4 linked regions of the Saccharomyces cerevisiae S288C genome follow. Changing the gene in region 2 together with the main gene of any one other region gives a genetic interaction. Each region holds a gene or a part of one and is shown on either strand. Other genes may lie near its edges. The genes, in order: OPI1, SEC12, BUD27 and LCB1.

What was found.
Region 1: mutations in SEC12 (region 2) and OPI1 together harm fitness more than expected from each alone (negative genetic interaction), as found in Saccharomyces cerevisiae (2 studies listed by BioGRID).
Region 3: mutations in SEC12 (region 2) and BUD27 together harm fitness more than expected from each alone (negative genetic interaction), as found in Saccharomyces cerevisiae (2 studies listed by BioGRID).
Region 4: mutations in SEC12 (region 2) and LCB1 together harm fitness more than expected from each alone (negative genetic interaction), as found in Saccharomyces cerevisiae (2 studies listed by BioGRID).

Annotation. Positions count from the first base shown.
Region 1 is NC_001140.6:65,661-69,432, reverse strand, and holds OPI1 (transcriptional regulator OPI1), read left to right. Parts: upstream 1-1,976; coding exon 1,977-3,191; downstream 3,192-3,772. Other genes in the region: APM2 (Apm2p), read left to right, coding at 1-1,702; AIM17 (Aim17p), read left to right, coding at 3,574-3,772. UniProt on the Saccharomyces cerevisiae protein: Negative regulator of the transcriptional complex INO2-INO4 in response to phospholipid precursor availability.
Region 2 is NC_001146.8:672,758-676,619, forward strand, and holds SEC12 (Sar family guanine nucleotide exchange factor SEC12), read right to left. Parts: upstream 1,933-3,862; coding exon 517-1,932; downstream 1-516. Other genes in the region: MPP6 (Mpp6p), read left to right, coding at 1-212; putative pyridoxal kinase BUD17, read left to right, coding at 2,166-3,119; peptidylprolyl isomerase family protein CPR8, read left to right, coding at 3,420-3,862.
Region 3 is NC_001138.5:89,132-93,882, reverse strand, and holds BUD27 (prefoldin-like protein), read right to left. Parts: upstream 2,898-4,751; coding exon 507-2,897; downstream 1-506. Other genes in the region: FRS2 (phenylalanine--tRNA ligase subunit alpha), read left to right, coding at 1-384; EPL1 (Epl1p), read left to right, coding at 3,538-4,751. UniProt on the Saccharomyces cerevisiae protein: Involved in gene expression controlled by TOR kinase and nutrient signaling. May also be involved in positioning the proximal bud pole signal.
Region 4 is NC_001145.3:858,659-862,814, reverse strand, and holds LCB1 (serine C-palmitoyltransferase LCB1), read left to right. Parts: upstream 1-1,923; coding exon 1,924-3,600; downstream 3,601-4,156. Other genes in the region: carboxypeptidase C PRC1, read right to left, coding at 1-893; GSR1 (Gsr1p), read left to right, coding at 3,925-4,156. UniProt on the Saccharomyces cerevisiae protein: Component of serine palmitoyltransferase (SPT), which catalyzes the committed step in the synthesis of sphingolipids, the condensation of serine with palmitoyl CoA to form the long chain base 3-ketosphinganine.

The sequences.
Region 1 (3,772 bases), on a different chromosome or scaffold from region 2:
CGGGTCGCCTCCAATTCTCTCCCAAAACGATTGGTTCTTTATACATTTGAAGAGAGACTTTCTGCATTTCGTTTCAGTGATACATACCACAGACAAACCAAATATAGACTTAATGACTATACTAGCCTTTTTGGAACAATTTTATCATCTTTTACAAAAATATTTTGAAATCGAGGTCTTAACTAAGAATGTCATACTGGACAACATCTTACTTGTCCTGGAGTTGATTGATGAATGTATAGACTTTGGTATCGTACAAGTGACGGATCCAAGTATCATCAAGGACTACATTCGTGTGAAGGTCAACGTACCAAGAGTTACAGTAGACAATGAGGAGTGGAGCCCTGGTGAAGAGAGCAGTAGTAGTAGCGGTAGCGATAGCGATAGCGAGTACAGCAATACTAATAAGAGGAAGGATAAGAAGAAGAAAAGGAAGAAGAAAAAGGGCACTAAAGGGAAAAGCGTGGGCAAAAGTAAATTAAAAAGTATAATGGTAAACAATAAAGAAAATAGGGGCATAAACGTGGTGGAAACTGTCAAGGAGACACTAAGGAACAAGAATGATACCGGTAAAGAAGCCGCTAATGACGAGCTCCCCAATGACGGTAATGATTTATACATCAATGGCGATATTGCGAAGACGATTATAATGCCCATATCATGGAGAACAAAGGGGATACATTACGCCAAAAACGAGTTCTTTCTTGATGTTATTGAACGTGTTCAGTACTTGATGGATTTTGAAAAAGGAGTGATTAGGAAAAATCTGATACATGGAGAGATTGTGTGCAGATGCTATTTATCAGGGATGCCCAAACTGAAAATATCCATAAACAAGATACTGAACAGGGACCCCCAGTTCATGTCGAATTCCAGCTTTCATCAGTGTGTTTCACTAGATTCCATAAACACTATTGAAAAAGATGAAGAAAAGAATAGTGACGATGATGCTGGTTTGCAGGCCGCCACAGATGCAAGAGAAATCGAATTTATACCGCCGGATGGCGAATTTGTTCTTTGCCAATACGAGTTGAAGAGACATGTAAAGGATGCGCCGATGGTGAGGTTGAAAGATTTTGAAATCAAACCTAAACTGAAGAAGTTTAAAATCCAAATTGTAACCAAAATTCAAACAAATTTTAAACCCACCAACTCAACGTCGAAGCTAAACGTGAGAATTCCCCTGACAAAAGTCTTCCAGGAATATAAAATAGACCTCAGCAAGCAAATTAGATTCAAGGCAAACATCGGCAAGGTCGTGTTTAACTTGAGTGACGATTTTCTCCTCTGGGAGATACAAACCATGAAGGGGCACCGAGAACATAGCACAAACAAGAGCTCACAGTACAACAGCGACGAAGATGATCCAAATACGTGTGCATCCATGGTGGCAGAGTTCCCCCTCTTCAACCAGGAAGAATATGACCGCCTGCAAGAAGAAATGAAAACCTCAATGAATCCGCCGCCCTTGCGCACGGGACCCAGGCTGGAAGAACTATATAGACAAGTGCACGACCAACAAACTTCCCACGTTACTCCTCGAGATAAGTTGGTCAACATTGATTTCGAGATTCCGTACTGTACATGCAGTGGCCTGAAAGTTGAGTACTTGAAGGTCGAAGAGCCACAATTGCAGTACCAGTCTTTCCCCTGGGTCAGATACAAGACCGTCAGCGACGAAGAGTACGCATATATTGTTTGACGCTTACGCAGACATCTCATAGATAGACAAATGGTACGTTCGTTTTAGTATATAGATGGCACCTTATAATCTTCATATGCAACCGGGTAAAATCGGGCGTTCTTATTTTTTTTTTTTCCACCTCAATGAGAGGGATTAATAAGAGGATTGGAGCAAGACAGCGATCTGCACTTAGCCAAGAAAGCATATCAGGCCAGAACGTGGCATTTTGTTTACAGTGCTGATTAAAGCGTGTGTATCAGGACAGTGTTTTTAACGAAGATACTAGTCATTGATGTCTGAAAATCAACGTTTAGGATTATCAGAGGAAGAGGTAGAAGCGGCTGAAGTACTTGGGGTGTTGAAACAATCATGCAGACAGAAGTCGCAGCCTTCAGAGGACGTCTCACAAGCTGACAAAATGCCGGCAAGTGAGTCGTCTACGACGCCGCTAAACATTTTGGATCGCGTAAGTAACAAAATTATCAGTAACGTAGTGACATTCTACGATGAAATAAACACCAACAAGAGGCCACTGAAATCAATAGGGAGGCTGCTAGACGATGACGATGACGAGCATGATGATTACGACTACAACGACGATGAGTTCTTCACCAACAAGAGACAGAAGCTGTCGCGGGCGATTGCCAAGGGGAAGGACAACTTGAAAGAGTACAAGCTGAACATGTCCATCGAGTCTAAGAAGAGGCTTGTAACGTGCTTGCATCTTTTAAAGCTGGCCAATAAGCAGCTTTCCGATAAAATCTCGTGTTTACAGGACCTTGTTGAAAAGGAGCAGGTGCATCCTTTGCACAAGCAAGATGGAAATGCTAGGACGACCACTGGAGCTGGCGAGGACGAGACATCGTCAGACGAAGACGACGACGATGAGGAGTTTTTTGATGCCTCAGAGCAGGTCAACGCCAGCGAGCAGTCTATTGTGGTGAAAATGGAGGTGGTCGGCACAGTCAAGAAAGTCTACTCGCTGATATCGAAGTTCACAGCAAATTCGCTGCCGGAGCCCGCAAGATCTCAGGTTCGGGAAAGTCTTCTAAACTTACCCACAAATTGGTTCGACAGCGTCCACAGTACATCACTGCCGCATCATGCTTCGTTTCATTATGCCAACTGTGAAGAACAAAAAGTGGAGCAACAGCAACAGCAACAGCAACAGCAGCAGCAGCAGCAACTTTTGCAGCAGCAACTCCTGCAACAGCAACAGCAAAAAAGGAACAAGGATGGCGACGACTCAGCCTCGCCGTCCTCCTCCGTAACTGCGAATGGGAAAGTACTCATTCTCGCCAAAGAATCCCTGGAAATGGTGAGAAATGTCATGGGCGTAGTCGACTCCACGTTGGGCAAGGCTGAAGAATGGGTGAAGCAGAAACAGGAGGTAAAAGAAATGATCAGGGAGCGTTTCTTGCAACAGCAGCAACAGTACAGGCAGCAACAGCAGAAGGATGGCAATTACGTAAAGCCCTCTCAGGACAACGTGGATAGCAAGGACTAACCGAGACAGATTGAGGTCTTTCATGCATTACCACCAGTAATAATATTATACGGAATAATATAGTTTATATAATATCCATAATCATAATCATAATCATAATCATAATCATAATCGTGATATTGTACCAGCCCCGCTTCTCCCCTTTTGAACTACCATTATTATCGGACCCTCTTTACCTTTGAATGGCTCAGTAAGGACCTTTGCGCAGCCGTAAGGGGGTCGGGAATACATTTCCGGGGTTGATCCTCGAGGAAAAGTGCTATCTATATAAGGAGAAGCCCTTCTAGATCCAAATATCAGGGGTAACTCTTCACAACTGGCCAGGAACATATTCCAAGTTAAAAAGAAAAAATAATTATTAGAAACCAATTACCAACACAAGATGCTAAGATCAAATTTATGCAGAGGATCTCGAATCCTTGCAAGACTGACCACTACACCAAGGACATACACATCTGCGGCGACAGCTGCGGCTGCGAATCGGGGACATATCATCAAAACATACTTCAATAGAGATTCTACGACAATTACGTTCTCCATGGAGGAGTCCAGCAAGCCGGTTTCCGTTTGCTTTAACAACG
Region 2 (3,862 bases):
ATAATTCTGATGATAGTGGTTCCAGGAAGAGAAAGTTTGATGAAGGCGAACAAAATGAAGACGAGAAAAGGGATGCTAAGGATAAGGAATTTACAGGGAGCCAAGACGATGGAGAGGATGAATATGACCTAGATAAATTATTTAAGGATAGCATCAAAAAGAAAAAGACCAACCATAATGGTAAAAATAAAAATAGAAATTCAAAAAAGTAGCGCAGACAATGCACCAGCAGAAGTACGTATTCGTATATAATAATGAGAACATAATATAAAGCATTGTGTAGTATTTTTTTCGTATTTGTCATAAACCATAAGGACTGCCGTCCTTTCTATTACGCTCAATTCCAAAACATATACAAAAACATGTAAATACACCACTTCTAATTTATCAGATAAATCTCTATCATCAATATCATTGAGATCGTTTTTGTATCTTTGCGTTTTTTTTCATAGCTTGAGTGTCGTCACTCTCCTTTTCGCTACTTCATTATTGCTACCTCATAACTTTCTCTCAAGCTCAAGCATCATCTATTTCTCGAAAAGTTGCGTTGGTGATCTCAAACTCTGCCCCTCCAGTATTAATAATGTTACTTTCAGTACATAAGACTTCAGTTCCATTCACAGAACTCGTCTCATGCACGCCATGCACTTTTATGGAATCTACGCTAGGTACAGATGTTTTTGTACCGTGGTTGCCAAACAAAGTTGTTTGATGTAAGTCTTCATCAACTACGTAGGGCGAAGAGATGGTGTCTCTTTTCGTTAGAAAATTGTCCTTCGCGTAATTGAAAAGCATGGAATGCAAATTGTGCTTATAGGAGAACTGTAAAATGTAAGAAAGCAGCACAATAAGGATGAAGTTGGTGAAAAATTTAGAGATTTTTTGTTTCATTGAGGTGTAGTTGGCGTAGTTAAGCGGTAATTTTATTATGTGGATAGTGTTGGCTGCCGAAACACTCGCCACATATGTAGAGTCCGGAGAGATAGTGACCTCTGTAATGGCAAAACTATGAGCTTGTTTGAATATTTTAGACATTGACAGGTCTTTTAGTTTCACAAGAGCTATGGAATTGTCATTACTTGCCAGTACCGCCAATTCACCCTTCATGTCGACATCCATAGAAGTAATCCCTTTGAATCTGTTTGTCACTTGTTTGGATCTTAATACGGAAGTGTTTCCTGATTTGATGCTTATTTTGGTCAGCACAATACCTTTCCCTTTTTTTAAAGAGGCTGCTATCAATACTGTGTCATCGGCTATGAAGTTTATTTTAGATAAACTCCAATTCTTATCAAAATCTGTTTTCCTAGCAATGCAACTTCCAGTCACTGTTGAAATCACTTCCAAGCTAGAACCGGTGATATAAGCAACAACCTTACCATCAGTGGAAAAGTGTAAATCCTTTACTTCACCCCTAGTCTCGATCTCAAACTTCTCTGTCAAGTCGCTCGGGTCAATGATTCTCATTATAGCAGGTACTTTAGATGATGCGATAGCTGCAACGGTACCTTCTCGTGAAATATAAACCAGCTTCGTGTAGTCATCCGCATTTGTAGATGCGTCAAAGTCTACACTAGTGAGGAACTCCAATTGATCATTCACTTTATCGTATTTAAATTTTCTCAAGTGCTTATTACCTTTACCTTGGGTAATCTTAGTGCTATTTTCATTGCAGCCAACCAAAATGATACCCTTGGAAGCGTCAATTGCAGTAGGAGAGTCGTCGTTGTCTTCCAATGCAAACTCGCTCAATATATGAAACTGTTCCTTCTCAGTATCTTTGGTAGGATCCACGCGCAAGACCGTCAGCTTGTTTGGTATGCCATTGTTTCCTTCTCCTCCACCGCCTGCCACAAGTAATGTGTCGTTATTCAAAAATTTTGCACCGTACGCAGGATACCCGACGTTATAACTAGCTGTCACGAACTTCATAGTGGCTCGATTGTATCTCAACCTTGTTATATATCTGTATTTCTATCACGTATCCTTCTAGGTTTCTGTACACGTTTTTGAATTTTTTGGATTTTTTTTTTTTCAACTTTTCTTTTTTCCCTCATTCTTACTCTATTGTCATCACCATTCAAGATAAAGATAATAACTAGCTTTGAGAAATTAGACCAGACGCAGTGGAAGGTTGAATACATGCCTGTGTGAGGGTGGTGCCAATGACCAGTACATTACATACGACAAAAAAAGTGCTCTCCATTCAATCACACGTCATACATGGCTACGTGGGAAACAAGGCCGCTACGTTCCCACTTCAATACAGAGGTTGGGATGTGGACGTATTGAACACAGTTCAGTTTTCTAACCACTCGGGGTACGCCCACTTCACAGGCTTCAAATGCAGCACTGAGGAGTTGGTAGACATTGTAGAGAAGGGCTTGATTGGGTCTCTTAGAATCAAGTATGATGCCGTACTTAGTGGCTATTTACCCAATGTTCAAGCCCTGCAAAAGGTAGCAGGAATAGTGGGTCAATTATGTGAGGGGAGTGAAAACGTCAAGTGGATATTAGATCCTGTACTGGGCGATAATGGAAGGCTGTACGTGGATCGAGAATGTGTTGCGGTATACCAAGACATTTTACAAAACTTCAAAATTTTTTTGGCCACACCAAATCAGTTTGAAATGGAACTGTTGGTGGGGATGTCAATTCGTACCTTAGACGACGCTAAGCAGGCATTTAAACTATTTCATAAAAAGTACCCTCGAGTAAGCCGAATAGTTGTCACTAGTCTGGAATTATCTGAATTCCTGAGCAACGACACTTACGTAGTAGCAGGGTTTGATTGCTCGGCCAGTGAAGAGATATTCTTCTATGAAATCCCCAAGATCAACGCAAAATTTAGTGGAAGTGGTGATTTAATCAGCGCCATGCTCACTGACTCGTTACTAGGCGACCGCCGCTGCACACAGCTGTCATTAAGCGCATCCTTGGGCCAAGTGCTGTGGCTCGTCACCAGTATCCTACAAAAAACGTATGATTTAAACATAGCTGAGCGGGGCCCACAAGATTCCACGATAGATATCAAGGATTTAAAGCTGATTCAGTGTAGAGACATCCTAAAGCAAGATCTCATACCCTCCATTGGCAAGCCAAAAACCATTAAAATATGATTCTTACGAAACGGTATGCTCCTTCCTCATTGGGGTGCGGCTGCTGCAGGAACCTGCCTAAATAGGAAAATACATTCCTGATTTGGAAACTGTAGGCACACGACGCGTCCCTTTGGAGAAGATCGATCCTTCTTTGGGTCTTTCAATTTGATTGGAAAAAAAATATTTAAAAAAATAGAAGAAAAATATAGAATATATAGAATATATAGAATCAACTACTGCAGTAGATAAATAAAGAAGACTATTCATATTCAGTATCACAATTGAAAGATTATTACAATTTGTATACATTGGTTCCCAATGAAGAGCTTTTTTCTTTATCTTTATGTGGCATTCATGTTTAGTTGCATAACGGCTCTGCCATTACCTGTGGATAACAAAAGGGCTTCTTCAGACTCCTTAGACCTAAAGAAAAAATACGCACCAGACCCTCCTATTACACATAATGTAAACATCGGAATTGTTTTCACAGATCCTGAAAGTTCGGAAGAAGCCGGCCGTCTCATAACAATAGACTTATACGGGACTATGGTGCCCAAGACAGTAATGACTTTTTGCCAGTATGTTGATAGTGTAAAAGATCGCCTTGCTTCCCGTCACAGTTACTCGCCAGAACGCGATTTTGATAAAATTCTACCGAATGGAGCTATAGAAGGTAGCTCCGTTTCTTCCTCCTCTATTGAAGAAACGGAAATGTTGGCTCCAAAACTCCCGGAAGAAAATCATAGTTTAATTCATGATAG
Region 3 (4,751 bases), on a different chromosome or scaffold from region 2:
GGTGTTCTTGCCGACTACAACATTACTCTGGGTGACCTGATCAAGTTCATGGAAGAGTTTTTCGAAAGAATGGGTGTCACCGGTTTGAGATTCAAGCCTACCTACAATCCTTACACCGAGCCATCAATGGAAATCTTTTCTTGGCACGAAGGTTTGCAAAAATGGGTCGAAATCGGTAACTCTGGTATGTTCAGACCAGAAATGCTCGAGTCCATGGGTCTACCAAAGGATCTAAGAGTCCTTGGTTGGGGGTTATCCTTGGAAAGACCTACCATGATCAAATATAAGGTTCAAAACATCAGAGAACTGTTAGGTCATAAAGTCTCTTTGGACTTTATCGAAACCAATCCTGCTGCTAGATTGGACGAAGACTTGTACGAATAAGCTCAGCAGTTCCTCTAGTTTTATATCGTCTGTCCCCAATTTTGTAGTAGTTATTGTACACAAAACAAATATATACGTATATGTTAATATAGATTCTGATTTACTTTCTGTCTCCATATGGGTTATGGTTTACTGTCCATATGGAGCCGTTGAGAGCGGAAACGACTTGTCTTGACCGGGTTCCCGAACTTATCAATAGGCTCCAATTCGCCTTCAGTGTGTGCGGCGGGTGATGATGATTGCCATTTCGACGCGGTAGCTTCTTTCAACCGTCTGTACTCTATAGCAACCTCTTCCTGTAGCCGGCCCGGATGTAGTGCTACTTCGTCCTCGTCATTTGTGTAACTTTCAGGAAATTCATGCTCAATGATATCATTCATAACATTGCCATCATTTTCCTCCTCCTCCATCGTCACTGGCTTGTTTTCTAGTTGAAAGTCTCGAATTTCGTCACGCAGCAACTCCACCTGCTTATTGTATTCTTTGAAATCCTCGAGCTTTTCCACTATGGTTCCTGGATCTTCCTCTAAATCGTCGTCATATAACCCCAATGAATATGCCTTGACCATATCATCCAAGTTTCCACCTAGGGCGTGATAATCGACATTTGTAATTCTAACCGGCTCACTCCCTACTGTGGCGCCCGTCTTAGCCATCGACCTAGACACCTCTTGGATTTTTGAAGGAAATTTATCTTGCTCATCAGTGTTATTTTTACTTTTGTTGGACAAAAGTTTCTTATTACCATCGTCATCATCATCATAATCGTCATCACTTATATTTTCGAGAATTTTGGGATCAAATTTTTTTTTCATTGATTTCGATGATCTTGGTTTTTGCAGTGATTTTAGCTTTTTCTTTTTAAAAGGAGTCTCAAACTCGCTCTTGCTGTTAATTTCCGGTTCTTTTTCCACTATATCGTTGATAGTAGGTTCTTTTTCTATAATATCCCCCACAACAGGCTTCCTTTCCACTATATCGTTGACAGCAGGCTCCCTTTCCACTATATCGGTGACAGCAGGCTCTTTTTCTATAACATCCCCCACAACAGGTTCTTTTTCTATAACATCCCCCACAACAGGTTCTTTTTCTATAATATCCCCCACAACAGGCTCTTTTTCCACTACCTCGTTCTCCACTGACCTTGTCGTTTCCTGTTTGAAAGTTGATAACGTATTTTCTTTTTTAGAAGCTCTATCCTTCCGGAATCTGGACACCCTAGTTCTTCTATTCGACCTGCTTGCTTCCCCTTCAAGTCTCTCTTGATTTATCAGTTCCTCTTTATATTTTTCATGCACTTCATCGGCCTCTTGGACACCCAACATCTTAGCAAATAAATCACCATCAAACTCATCCGATGTCATTTTATTAGCGATACCTGTGCTTTCCTGGGTTTCATACATGGGCACCGCAAAGGATTGCATCTGCCTCTTGTTCTCTTCTTTCAAGTTTTCGACTTCGTGAATTTCTAGAGAAGATGCAAACCCGACTTGTTTCTTTTTCTGCTTTTTGTCTGAATTCTCAGCAAAAGAAGACTTTTTCAAAATAGGTTTTAATGATTTATTAACGTCACCTTCTTCCCTCTCATGATCTTGGGATTGCTTTTGTGCGCGTAGGCGTTGAATTTGTTGTAAAAATGAGGACTGCGCTTCAAAGCCAGGTATAATAGAATGATTTAGATACTCTTCTTCATCTTCGTCCTCGTCATCCTCTTCATAGTTATCATTGACTTTGAAATTGGAGTTTTCGAACGCATCATAATCATAATTTATTTCATCAGTTTCAATATAGCCGTCCTCCAATTCATCTTGTTGGTCCATCTGTTGGACCAAGTCGGCAAATGTATACACGTTTTCTGTATCTACTTTAGATGGCTGCACTTTTTTCTTTACTTCATCGTTCCTTTTCAATAACTTTCCTTTCAAGTTTTCTTCGAATGACTTTGATTTCTTCTCCTTTGCTAATCCTTTCTCCTTTGGACCGACTGCAGGTGTCTGTTCTTTTTTGGAATTCGATTGTGATGGTTGCTTTGTTGTAGGGGTAACGGAACTACTTATGACATTTCCCTCGTCATCTAGTTCTTCTCTAATCTCCATAGAGGGCAGAAAATCTTCGTCGTTGTTCGCTTCGTCTTCTTCAATTCCATTTCCGTCCTCCATGTGATTCAAGTTGTCTAAGGTCTTTTTAGCCTCTTCGATCTTCAGGTTAAATTGCTCAATGGCGTCCTCCATTAGTTTTAATTTATCATCAACAAACGTGATGGCCTCCTCTTTGGTCTTTTCAACGTAATACTCATAGCCTAGACTTAGATATATCTTACTCGTAGAAATTATGATATCACCAAACACCATCCCTTGGCCTTCGCCTTCTTCTTCGCCATCATCATTGTCATTGATAAATCTAACCAGTCGGCTTCTGATATCTATATAGTGCTCTCTTTGTTCCGAAAGAAAGTTTCTCTTATCTTGCAGATTTTTCAACGTACTTTCTACGCTGGCCGCTAACAAATCCATGGCTATTACAGTCTGAGGATACCTGTTTACTATAAAATTCTACAGAATATTCATACAACACTCTCTGTTAAAACCTTTAAGAGCAGCTCATCGCCTATCCTCCAAGGATAAATTTCAAAACACCCAAACATTAGGGTTACCCGTATATCGCTACTTCTTCCCATACTCGCTCACCATAGTTAGCACCCCATACCGCAGGAGTAAGCGAGAAACAAAGGGATAGAGGAAAAAAATTTTCTCCGTCGGCCGCGGGTGGCAAAAGCACGATCCGACCACAAAATTGTACTATTACATATCACATGGTATAGCATACAAGCAATACCTGTGAGAGGTTACTACACAAAAGCAAAAAAGTTTGCAAAAATCAGCCAAAACTGTGCTCGTATTCTGGTGGTCATTAGACACTCGCAATATTATTACACCACATCGCGTTCCTCTGAGCTGCTATAATAAAATAAACGCTATCTATTTTTGACTCCTCTTTTTGCCACCCTCGCCTTCCTTTTGTCCATATTCTCACATTGTACGGCAACTGCGGACTTCAGGTCAACATAAATAAAAATTGCACACGATAGGGTAACATTATAGTCACGTGCTTATAAAAACATTGTAATAACATTAGCAAATAACGATAATAACGATGCCGACACCTTCAAACGCTATAGAGATCAATGACGGTTCGCATAAATCTGGTAGAAGCACTAGGCGGTCTGGATCTAGGAGTGCGCACGATGACGGTCTAGATTCATTCTCAAAAGGCGATTCAGGTGCTGGAGCCAGTGCTGGTAGCAGTAATAGTCGATTTAGACATCGAAAAATATCTGTGAAGCAACATCTTAAGATATATCTGCCTAACGATCTGAAACACCTGGATAAAGATGAATTGCAACAGAGAGAGGTGGTTGAGATCGAAACTGGTGTAGAAAAAAATGAAGAAAAGGAGGTCCATTTGCATCGAATATTACAAATGGGTTCTGGTCATACAAAGCACAAAGACTATATTCCGACCCCGGATGCTTCTATGACTTGGAATGAATATGATAAGTTTTATACGGGCAGTTTCCAGGAGACCACCAGCTACATCAAATTTTCTGCCACTGTGGAGGATTGCTGTGGTACCAACTACAATATGGATGAAAGAGATGAGACCTTTTTAAATGAACAAGTCAACAAAGGTTCATCAGACATTTTAACTGAAGACGAATTTGAAATACTTTGTTCCAGTTTTGAACATGCTATTCACGAGCGTCAACCATTCTTGAGTATGGATCCGGAAAGTATACTTTCTTTTGAAGAATTGAAGCCCACATTAATAAAATCAGATATGGCTGATTTCAATCTAAGAAACCAGCTGAATCATGAAATAAATTCTCATAAAACACATTTTATCACACAATTCGACCCCGTATCTCAAATGAATACGAGACCTTTAATTCAGCTGATAGAGAAGTTCGGCTCTAAAATTTATGATTATTGGAGAGAAAGAAAAATTGAAGTTAACGGGTACGAAATTTTTCCGCAGCTGAAATTTGAAAGGCCGGGTGAAAAAGAAGAGATTGATCCCTACGTCTGTTTCAGAAGAAGAGAAGTGAGACATCCGCGGAAAACAAGACGTATAGATATCTTAAACAGTCAGCGTTTAAGGGCGTTGCATCAAGAATTGAAAAACGCGAAGGACTTGGCCCTGCTTGTTGCTAAACGTGAGAACGTTTCCCTAAATTGGATTAATGATGAATTAAAAATATTCGATCAAAGGGTAAAAATTAAGAATTTGAAAAGATCTTTGAACATTAGTGGAGAAGACGATGACTTGATTAACCACAAGAGAAAACGCCCCACGATTGTTACGGTCGA
Region 4 (4,156 bases), on a different chromosome or scaffold from region 2:
TAGTTATACTGAGTCAATGGGTCAGTGAGGCCATTTCCGATCAAGACGGAGGTTAAGTTGAAGTTTCTGTCCTTGTGAGACAAAATTTCAGAGGCAAAAACAGGGATGTAATGGCCGGCGTAGGATTCCCCAGCGATGTGGAAATCTTGGCCCTTGTTGACGTATTCAGGGAACTGATCGAAGAACAACTCCAAGAAGTTATAGACATCCTTACCAGCGGCGACAGTGTTGGAAACACCTGAGGACCCGGAATACGAGAACCCAACGTTGACAGGCTGGTCAAGGAAGATCACGGTGGCATTGCTGTTCCAAGAGTAAGGGTTCCCGATGGGTTTCAAATCAGGTCCAATGGATGAGGGTCCTAATTCAAAGAACAGCCCGGTTAGTGAAGAACAACCTGGACCCCCGTTCAACCAAAGGATGACCGGATCCTTTGCAGGATCGTTTCTACTTTCAAAAGTCCAAAAGAAGAAATGCTTGTCCTCGTCTTCCACATCCAAGTAACCCGTGTACTGTGTGACATTTGGGTCAATGCCCAGGATTTTAGGGTCCTTAATCTTGTTGACACGAAGCTGATAGTTTTCAATTGCGTCATTCTTGACCACAAAGTCCCAGTCTTTCTTCGTTTTGATTGCTTCAGGGAATTTTGGCTTAGTGGAAGTTTCAAGGCTCATAACCTGGTTTGGGTACAAATGCTCTATTTGGGCCCAAGCGTCCAATACATTGGAGTCCAACTCCTTCAAGAGATGATCCAGGTCGAGGTCCAAACCAAATTTTTCCGCAGCTTGCAGCAAAACGTCCTTATCTAGACCCAACGGTCTTTGCAATGAGATGGCCTTAGCGAGTGTAGTGGACAGGCCTAGTCCACATAGTAAACTGGTGAATGCTTTCATAGCGTATGTATACTTTAAGTTGAGTAGAAAAGAAACAATCTCTAGTGAGTATTCTTTCTCTCTCTCTCTCTTGTCTTGTTAAGACTAGGAGGGAAGACGAAAAGAATTATTTCGGAGCTTTTTTGCTGGCATTCTTATCTCGTGCTTTTATTAGTGGGCCCCTTCTTTGAGACCCCGCGGGTGATATGGCCCCTGTCTCAATGATGGATAAAGTTGTTGGAAGCAATTACCAAGACAATCACAAACGAAGGTTGCTACCGAAGTGTACTGGATGACCAACATCGCTATGATTAAATAAGACTATACATAATAGACAAGGGTGGCGCGGCTCCATTCCCAGGGAGACACAAACACGAGGTAAGTCTCAAAAAACCGAAGTTTCGCTCTAAAACTGCACGTAAAGGTCGTGGTATTGACTACAACCATTGACTGTTACATTGTGTAGAAGAAAGGTCCTCACATACTGCTCTGTCAATATGGCTTCTTGTGCAGAAGGTCAATATGTACTATTTCCATGAACCCACAAAATAAGGGAAAAAAAACACTGGAAATAACCGCCACACATACCGTATAAAAGTACATCTCTTTATACGAGTTACTTACTAGACCCTAACCAATGCCTTCAAAAAACAGGACAGACCCTAAAAACTACCATAAGAGACCTAACATATGTATCATCATATACGGAAATCGATTTCGCGTATTTTTTTTTTTTTGAGGCGCCATGATTTCTTACACGGTTTCTTTTTTTTTTCCTTCTTTCCTTCTTGCTTCTCTGCTAACAAATTTTTCACTCATTCTTTTTTATAGGGGCATATTGCTGCGGTTAACTGTAGTGAACGAAAGTAAGATTGAGAAAATATAGTACTTAAGAAAAAGAAAAGGAAAAATAAAAAAAATTCTTTTCAACATCATCGAGTAGCACAGTATAAGAGCGCTCTAACCTTCTGCCTGGCCTCCAATATACACATTTTGCTCGTGTAGGGTTATTTATCCTTTTTTCTTCCTTCCCACCCAAAAAAAAAAAGCAATGGCACACATCCCAGAGGTTTTACCCAAATCAATACCGATTCCGGCATTTATTGTTACCACCTCATCGTACCTATGGTACTACTTCAATCTGGTGTTGACTCAAATCCCGGGAGGCCAATTCATCGTTTCGTACATCAAGAAATCGCATCATGACGATCCATACAGGACCACGGTTGAGATAGGGCTTATTTTATACGGGATCATCTATTACTTGTCCAAGCCACAACAGAAAAAGAGTCTTCAAGCACAGAAGCCCAACCTATCGCCCCAGGAGATTGACGCGCTAATTGAGGACTGGGAGCCCGAGCCTCTAGTCGACCCTTCTGCCACCGATGAGCAATCGTGGAGGGTGGCCAAAACACCCGTCACCATGGAAATGCCCATTCAGAACCATATTACTATCACCAGAAACAACCTGCAGGAGAAGTATACCAATGTTTTCAATTTGGCCTCGAACAACTTTTTGCAATTGTCCGCTACGGAGCCCGTGAAAGAAGTGGTCAAGACCACTATCAAGAATTACGGTGTGGGCGCCTGTGGTCCCGCCGGGTTCTACGGTAACCAGGACGTTCATTACACGTTGGAATATGATTTAGCACAGTTCTTTGGCACCCAAGGTTCCGTTCTGTACGGGCAAGACTTTTGTGCCGCACCCTCTGTTCTGCCTGCTTTCACAAAGCGTGGTGATGTTATCGTGGCAGACGACCAGGTGTCATTACCAGTGCAAAATGCTCTGCAACTAAGCAGATCCACAGTCTACTACTTCAACCACAACGATATGAATTCGCTAGAATGTTTATTAAACGAGTTGACCGAACAGGAGAAACTTGAGAAACTGCCCGCCATTCCAAGAAAATTTATCGTCACTGAGGGTATTTTCCACAACTCGGGCGATTTAGCTCCGTTGCCTGAGTTGACTAAGCTGAAGAACAAGTACAAGTTCAGACTATTTGTTGACGAAACCTTCTCCATTGGTGTTCTTGGCGCTACGGGCCGTGGGTTGTCAGAGCACTTCAACATGGATCGCGCAACTGCCATTGACATTACCGTTGGGTCCATGGCCACCGCGTTGGGGTCCACCGGTGGTTTTGTCCTGGGTGACAGTGTTATGTGTTTGCACCAGCGTATTGGTTCCAATGCATATTGTTTTTCTGCCTGTTTGCCGGCTTACACCGTCACATCCGTCTCCAAAGTCTTGAAATTGATGGACTCCAACAACGACGCCGTCCAGACGCTGCAAAAACTATCCAAATCTTTGCATGATTCCTTTGCATCTGACGACTCCTTGCGTTCATACGTAATCGTCACGTCCTCTCCAGTGTCTGCTGTCCTACATCTGCAACTGACTCCCGCATATAGGTCTCGCAAGTTCGGATACACCTGCGAACAGCTATTCGAAACCATGTCAGCTTTGCAAAAGAAGTCCCAGACAAACAAATTCATTGAGCCATACGAAGAGGAGGAAAAATTTCTGCAGTCCATAGTAGATCATGCTCTTATTAACTACAACGTTCTCATCACAAGAAACACTATTGTTTTAAAACAGGAGACGCTACCAATTGTCCCTAGCTTGAAAATCTGCTGTAACGCCGCCATGTCCCCAGAGGAACTCAAAAATGCTTGCGAAAGTGTCAAGCAGTCCATCCTTGCCTGTTGCCAAGAATCTAATAAATAAAAATAGAAAGCCAGTATATGCACACGCACATATATATATAAATATTTATACAATAATACAAATAATCGTAACATCATCTCTGTCAAATTGACGTGGTGCACGGCGCCCAGAGAATGCGCTAAAAATTTTCGGATCCGAAATTTTCTTTCCTTTTACCATCGAGGCAAAGCAACCTGTATTATTTATTTGTTTATTTATTAATAGAAAAGAAAGGAGTACTTTCGTGGTACGCTTTCTTGAGCATTTTCGGTTTCACTAGGCAGAGAACTAACACAAGAGACACAGCAAACATCAAACAAGGTTAAAACAGCACACCAAGGCAATATGATGCATTTTAGAAAGAAATCCAGTATCAGTAACACGAGTGATCATGACGGAGCGAACCGTGCCTCAGATGTCAAGATTTCTGAAGATGACAAGGCAAGATTGAAGATGCGTACTGCTTCCGTTGCTGATCCTATTCTAGACGCTGTGCAGGAAGCCCAACCTTTTGAACAAGCTGCTGATACCTTCCACGACAACATGAACAGACAATCTTATTTTTCCAACGAAGAAG